2 linked regions of the Anolis sagrei genome follow. The protein of the gene in region 1 interacts with the protein of each later gene in a pairwise test. Links are inferred from orthologs where the notes say so. Each region holds a gene or a part of one and is shown on either strand. Other genes may lie near its edges.

Region 1 (3,927 bases):
CCCATGTTCTACACCAGCACTGTCTTGAGCAATGACCATACTGCTGGCTGCACTTGTGCAGTGAGCCTGACAATACAGTTATGTCTCCTCTCCCCCACCTGAGAATACAAAAGATGTATGACTGTACATTGGCTTAGTTCCAAACAGGATGTCGTCCATCTATCGATCTGTTTATCTTAGCATCAGCTTACCTTAGTCCACATTTTGTTAGTTAGTTTCCTTTTGTTGTGTGATTTGTTAGTGGGTGGTAAAAATAGCCAGGTTTGATTGCTCAGCACAATAAGTCCATACATCTCAGCCATGGCCATTTTACACGTACATTTTGGGAAAGGATAGATGAACAAGAACTTGAAAAGCTAAGACAGAAGCTTGAATAGTTACTACCTTGTTTCTTGTATAATCCATTGACATTGCAACTAAAGATATGAAGGGAAAAGCAAGAGTGGCAGGAATTATACCACAGAATCCTACAAAAGCCGTACAAACTAACAATGAAGTTACAGGCGACGTGGAATTTTGAAATTAATGCTGAAAGTACAAAATAGCAGATATGCATAAGTTTCTCTCCTCAGCGTCTTTACTCTATTCATATGTTTATAAGGCTCTGCTAATTCCTCCTTTAGTCTTCTGTTTCTTTTTAACTATTTGACTCTTCTAATCTCCCTCTCCGTTTTTGTCTTTTCTCTCTGCCCTTTGAAGTAAGCAAAATACTATTGAGAGGCCATAGCCAAGCTTTCTTCATCTATTTGTGACTTTTTTTAGGCAACAATGATATTCAAGTTCCACCTATCTGGAATTAGAACATGCTATTATTTTACACTAATTCATCATGATCCTGTAAAATTACGTTAACGGGTAATTATCTGACACTATATGTTCATTAGCATTGTTCCACACACCCACTTACTTATGATCCATGAGAACAAGGCTGCAGCCCCCTTATCATCTCTTATGTTGTTAGACTTGCTTCTTCTTCCTCCTCCTCTCTTCCACTCCAGAATTCATTTCTACTGAGTATTGTTCTAATTGCCCATTATGGGATCATTGCTCATGCCTGACAATTGGCACTTCCTCTACGTGCAGATTGGTTGCACAGCCTGATCTGGCAGTGGGAGCCCAGAAGTGGTACTGTAAATTAAAACAATGATCTAATTACTGAGCACAAAACAGGGCTGGCGCCCTATTAGCAATCTGCAGTTTAGCATGTTAGGGCTGAAATAAGCCAATAAATAAAACCTGTTCCCTCCCTTGTGCTGAAAACAGCATGTCTAGTAACCAATGGTGTTGCTCAGCTTCAGCTCTGTGTTGTGACAAGCTGTTTTGCTGCGCTGGAGGATTTCAATGCTCTCTCTCCCGCCACCCCACCTTGCATGAGCTCCAGAGAGAGCTTTACTGCTTCGTACAAGTCCCTGGCAATGCCTCTTCCACCACCACCTGGAAGGGAAGGCACAGCAATGAAGAGGTTAAAGAGCTTCTTTGGAATTTGGCTTTGAAAACTATGCAAGGAGGGAGTCAAAGTGAATTGGAGAGGAGGAACCTTGTGCAGCACACGTCTTGGCAGTAAATACAGCTCTCTGATATCGGATGCAACAAGGCAATCACAAGGTGCCGGTAGCAAGTGGTGGTTTGTTGAAAGTGGCATCAAGGTGGCACAGGCTCAGCCCAGAACTCAGCGTATATCTTCCAAGAGTGGCCTTCAGGGCGGTGAGGTGCCTGAATGACCCCAGGCAGTAGTGGATTCCTAGATTGTGTGACACTGTGAGTGTGCTGCTGTTATTCCACTGGAATCTCTCCTAGTCAGCCAGGTAGGAGGCAAAGGGAGATGCAGCTTGGGAAATGACCGCCACGAAAGAGGAAATCCACTGTCAGACAGCAGCTCGGATTGTCACGGACTTGTGCCGCAAGAAAAGCCTACCTCAGTTGGACCCAGATACCTGCAAGCAGTTCATCTTCCCAGACCTGAGTAATCCTGAGCCAGGTACAGTGCCCCCTGTTCTGTAGGGGAGGGCTTTCCTATTAATTGCCTAAAGAGACTGTGGGAGAAGAGGTCTGGCCCCCCTCCTTTCCTTTCAAAAGGGATGAGCCTTGTTCAAATCTCCTCCTTTATCCCTTGATTATATAGACATTTGCCTTCATCTTATTCTGTCCCTTGTAGCTGCATGTTGTTGGAAAGTTGGATGAAACCTGTTGAAAGCTGCAAGTTTTTGTAAGGAAGGCAAGCAAGGATAGAAGTGGGAAGAGTATGTGAAGAGGACATAGTTTAAAGCCAGGAGCAGGGGGATGTTGTTTCTGGTATTGAGGTTTTGGATTTTCATCATCTCTGTACTTCCAAAACCTTTGTCAGGGAATTGTGCCCCAACAAATTCACCTACATTTTTGTAAGGTTCAGTGTCTAGTCAAAAGTAAAATCACCTTAAAAAGAACTGGAGGGCAGCAGGAGGGTAATGGTAGAGTAATAGTTGAAATACTTTCTCCCTGTTTAAAAAGTGTAAGAAGAGAATTAATCTGAGGAAGTTATTAAATGTGAAAATAGAACTAAATTGAGATCACGTGTACTTTGTGTGTGTGTTTGAAAAGGGCATCTGTGTATTTGACTACTCAATGTTAATGTAAATAGAAGTATTGTTTACAATTATCTGAGCATCCCGCCATGGAAGAAATAGAGTGCCTTGCTAATTCTAAATACTCATTTCCATCAGATGATGGAACTGAGCACAGCTTTACAAAATTTGTGATGGTGAAAACAGGGGGTTTCTTTTTTAACTCCATGTCAGACTGTAGTGTTATTCCATGTCTGGATATTCTTTCAAACCAAGAATAGAAAGCCATTTCACAGCTTGCTTCAGGATTTATAGCAGAAGATATAGATGCCACATCATTAATGGTATTTAGCTGTGACAGGTAAAGGCGAGGAAACATTCCTCATTATTGGGATCCTTGAGGCAGAAAACTGTTATCTTGATGTCATGCCCTGTTTGTGATTTGTCTGAGAGGTTATTGGCCATCCACTTTTGAGAATGTAATGAAGTCTGATCCAGCAACTGCCATCCAGTAGGGTTTATCTTACATTCCGCACACAATAGTTTCTCAGTTGCACTGTAGATTTTCTTCTGTGATCTATATATTTTATTGCAATAATGGCTATTCACCTTAGAGGACCAGGGAGAGTTCTGTGCCATCTCTATGTACAAAGATACAGATGTCTATGCTTGTTGAGCATATGTTCCAATAAAATTTGAACATAGTTCTGCATGAGAGTTCAGTTATTGAAATTGCCTTCACTGTGCCCTTAAGAAAGATTTGCTTTGCAACTATCAGAGTCTGACTTTTCAGCCATAAGGCAAAAAGGATATCTTTTATTGCTTCATGGATTATTACAGTTTTTTTCTAATGTGCCAACAAAACATTTACAGCCTTTGACACAGATCTGAATCCCTGTAACCTACTGAGAACAAATTGAATAGAGAGGGTGGGGAGAAGAGGTAGACTCATGTTTGTTACTGACTGAAAACCCTGATCCTAGATGGGTAGAGTACTTGCAGCTGCGTTTGACTCACTCATGAAGGATTTGGGCTCTGCTGATACCAAACTGCCTTTGTCCTCTTTGAAAAGTGTAGAGTAATAATAGAATTGAACATCAGCATTCAGAAGGGCTGCTGAGATGGAGCCTTGATGCCAATAAATCCTGTTCATGAAGCATCAGAATGTGTTGTGGTAAATGTTTAAAAGCTTTCTCTGGAACAGTTTTTTTTCCAATAAAAGAAGTTGGGAGAACTTTACAAACTTTATATTTCTGACTTGCACACCTAAACCCTTTTTCTCATGGATTGCTCTGGATCATTGCAGACTGCCGGCTATCAGGATGGCTGCTGTGATTTCAGCAGGAATAACCTGATTTCTGAAGCTTATGCTGGACCTAGCAATGCC
Region 2 (3,927 bases), on another chromosome or scaffold:
TACTCCCTTTCCACCTTTTTCTCGCCGACGCGGAGATCTTCGGCAGCGGAGGTCTGGACACTGTGGTCAGCCTGGACAGTGTTTACAGACTCAGATACCTGCTGTTCATCGTAAGGGCCATGCACTTCCACAGCTTCACAGTCCTGGACAAACCTCTCCGTTTTGACGTGGATCCACCGCTTGTGAGACATGATGCTCGGCTTGCTGTAAAGTGGCCTCGTGTATTGATAATCCGCACTATCGCTCACTCCTTCTTCCCCATCCTGGCTGGTCATTCCTGTGCTCAGCCCATCATGCTCCGTTGAAGAATTGCTCGGAAGATACTCATGTTCTGTTAGTTGAGATAACAGCTCATCCTTGGAACTTTCCTCCTCGTTCTCCCCATCCCGCAGTTCCTGCACTTTGTGAAAGTCAGCCTGCTCAAAGCTTTCCACGAGGCCGTTGTAGTTACTGCTGCTTGGAGACTGATGGTCGCTGGTACGGTTCAGCTTCTGGCAAAGCACTGACGGGTTCCCTTCCAAAACCTCCGTGCATTTGTCGACGACGTGCCACATCTGAAGGAAGCTCGCTGCTGTGAGGTAGCTGACAATCTCCGGAGCGGGCATGACCAGCCGTCCCGTGTAGGTCGACAGGAGGATGTTCTCAAACACTCTGGGGTTCATGACGTCAGGCAGAACGATCCTCCGGCTATTTTTCAGGAGCACTTGGTCGCAGAAGTAAGGGGAGCTGGCTGCCAGGACAGCTTTGTGGGCTCTGAAGAGGTGGCCCTGGACAACAATCGAAACATCGCACAGCTGCCCTTGTTGGCGTTGTTGGTTGAGCTTCTGCAAGATGGTGCTGGAGAAGTCGGGGAACTCCACTCTGAAAGAATTGGTCCCAGGCTCCATTTCATCAGCAGACTGCAAGGAAAGACAATATTTAGTTCACGAATAGGAAAGCAGGGCTGTGATTTGTTTTCTCCCTCTCATGACCAGCCAGACTTCCCCTTAGGAAAACGTTATCAGTTCTCAGGAATGTAAGAGGAGTCTGCTGTTGCCCTCATGCTCTGCCTTTGGGCTGTTCATCGCTGGTCATGATGAAAATAGTGGAACACGTCCAACATATTTCTTTTTATGTTCCAATTTGTAATTCATAGGAAAGTCATGATAGAAGAGGATTTATTTCTTCTCTTTCACAGGGCAAACAACCAATCTATTCTCTGCTCAAGACAACAACAACAATAACAACATGGTCACCCTGCTCCTTACAAGGTCTGTTGCAGTTCAGAAGAGCAACTGATAGAGCACACAAACAATTTCAGATTATGGTACATTTTGGATTCCCAGATAAGGATTGCTGAGTCTGTAGGAGAATTTATACCATATAATTAATACTGTTTGATACTTTAGCTGCCATATTATTATTATGGCTGGATGGCCAACTGTCAGGGGTACTTTGATTGGGTTTTTCCTGCATGGCAGGGGGTTGGACTAGATGGCCCATGTGGTCTCTACTAACTCTATTGTTGTTATTATTATTATTATGGCTGGATGGCCATTTGTCAGGGGTGCTTTGATGGTGCTTTTCCTGCATGGCAGGGGGTCGGACTACATAGTCCATGTGGTCTCTTCCAACTCTATTATCAGTATTACTATGGCTGGGTGGTCATCTGTCAGGGATGCTTTTATGGTGTTTTTCCTGCATGACAGGAGATTAGACTATATGGCCCACGTGTTCTCTTCCAACTCTATTATTATTATTATTGCTGAATGGTCATTATCAGTATTACTATGGCTGCATGGTATCTGTCAGGGGTGCTTTGATTGTGCCACCTCTATCATCATCATCATGATCATGGCTGGATGGCCATCTGTCAGGAGTGCTTTGATTGTGCCACCTCTATTATTATTATTATTATTATTATCATCATAATTATGGCCAGATGGCCATCTGTCAGGAATGCTTTGATTGTGCCACCTCTATCATCATCATCATGGCTGGATGGCCATCTGTCAGGAGTGCTTTGATTGTGCCACCTCTATTATTATTATTATCATCATAATTATGGCCAGATGGTCATCTGTCAGGAGTGCTTTGATTGTGCCACCTCTATCATCATCATCATCATCATAATTATGGCCAGATGGCCATCCGTCAGGGACTTCTTTGATTGTTCCTTTCCTGCAGGACAAGAGGTTGGACTAGATGGCCCATGTAGTCTCTTCCAACTATGTCATCACCATCATTATTATTATGGCTGGATGGCCATCTGTCAGGGGTGCTTTGATTGTGTCTTTCCTGCAGGGCAGGGGGTTGGACTAGATGGTTCATGTGGTTTTTTCCAACTCTATTATCATTATCATTATGGCTGGATGGCCATCTGTCAGGGTTACTTTGATTGTGCCTTTCCTGCATAGCAGGGGGTTGGACTAGATGGCCCATGTGGTCTCTTCCAACTCTAATATCATCATCATTATGGCTGGATGGCCATCTGTCAGGGGTGCTTTGATGGTGCCTTTCCTACATAGCAGGGGGGTGGACTAGGTGGCCCATGTGGTCTTTTCCGAGTTTATTATGCTGTGATTCTATGAAACCGCGTCAATCCTACAGTGCAGATGCCCCCAGGGCAAGCCCCACCTCTTTCCCCTCTCCCCCTCCTTCCCTATCCTCAGCCCAAGCCAAGCCTCACCTCTCTGAAAGGCAAGGCCCTCGGCGAAGCGCTCCTGCCTCACATGGCGGGCGAGCCCCTCAGGCTTCGCCTCCACCAGCCCACCACTCAGGCCCGGAAGTCCTAGTCTCTTCCTTCTTCCGGTTTTCTAGCCCCGCCACATCCGCTTCCGCCTTTAGAGTTAACCACAGACTTGCATGATAGATCTATACAAGCAGAGGTGCACTTCCTGGTTGACGCCCCCTTTTGGTTGTCTGTGGTATTGCCACACTGTAGAATGAATGAATGAGTGCAATTGGATGCCATTGTTTTCAATAGCCGGGGCTCAAAAGCTATGGAATCCTGGAAGGATGGTGTACTGGGTTGTTGTAGGGTTTTTCGGGCTGTATGGCCATGGTCTAGAGGCATTCTCTCCTGACGTTTCGCCTGCATCTATGGCAAGCATCCTCAGAGGTAGTGAGGCCTGTTGGAACTAGGAAAAAGGGTTTATATATCTGTGGAATGACCAGGGTGAGACAAAGGACTCTTGTCTGCTGGAGCTAGGTGTGAATGTTTCAACTGACCACCTTGATTAGCATACAATGGCCTGACTGTGCCTGGAGCAAACTTTTGTTGAGAGGTAATTAGATGTCCCAGCCTGCTTCCTCTCTGTTGTTGTGCTGTTGCAATTTTAGAGTGTACTTTTGCATAGAGTACTGGCCAGAGCAAAGGCAGAGGGGAGCAGAAGACATTTCCATCTTGTCTTTACTAATAATATAATATAGTATATTGTATACACTTATAATATTTATAATATTATAATGTAATACAATATAATACTAGCAATAATAATACAATATTATAATTATATATTTACATTACATGTAATATTACTAATAATATTACAATATAATGGTATAGTGCAATATAGTAATATCTAATACTGATATTGTACTATACTAATTATATACTATATTGTATGGAATTATATATTGTAAGCCGCTCTGAGTCCCCTTCGGGGTGAGAAGGGCGGCATATAAATGCCGTAAATAAATAAGTAAATAACAGAGTATGTAAGAAGCCAATGAAATCCACAAATGTGTGAACAATTTCAACAGAAAGGAGGAAACCATGAGAATGAACAAAATCTGACTACCAATATTTTAAAAACTCTAAAATCAAGACAGTAAATAAAGAGCAACACACAGAAAAATGGGGAATTCCAGACAGGAAACAATCAGGACCAGCTAACACCCCCCAACAAAGGCTTCCCCCCAGTCAGCAACCAGGCAGGCTTTGAA

Evidence for each region.
Region 2: the proteins of SYT6 (region 1) and ZBTB43 interact in binary tests that used the Homo sapiens proteins (3 or more experiments, as listed by UniProt). The two-hybrid records come from large-scale screens. The link is inferred for Anolis sagrei from reciprocal best matches to the Homo sapiens genes SYT6 and ZBTB43.

The regions. Positions count from the first base shown.
Region 1 is NC_090024.1:202,976,551-202,980,477, reverse strand, and holds the start of SYT6 (synaptotagmin-6), read left to right. Parts: upstream 1-1,308; 5' UTR 1,309-1,836; coding exon 1,837-1,978; intron 1,979-3,927.
Region 2 is NC_090031.1:7,994,951-7,998,877, reverse strand, and holds the start of ZBTB43 (zinc finger and BTB domain-containing protein 43), read right to left. Parts: upstream 2,792-3,927; 5' UTR 2,669-2,791; intron 900-2,668; 5' UTR 888-899; coding exon 1-887. UniProt on the Homo sapiens protein: May be involved in transcriptional regulation.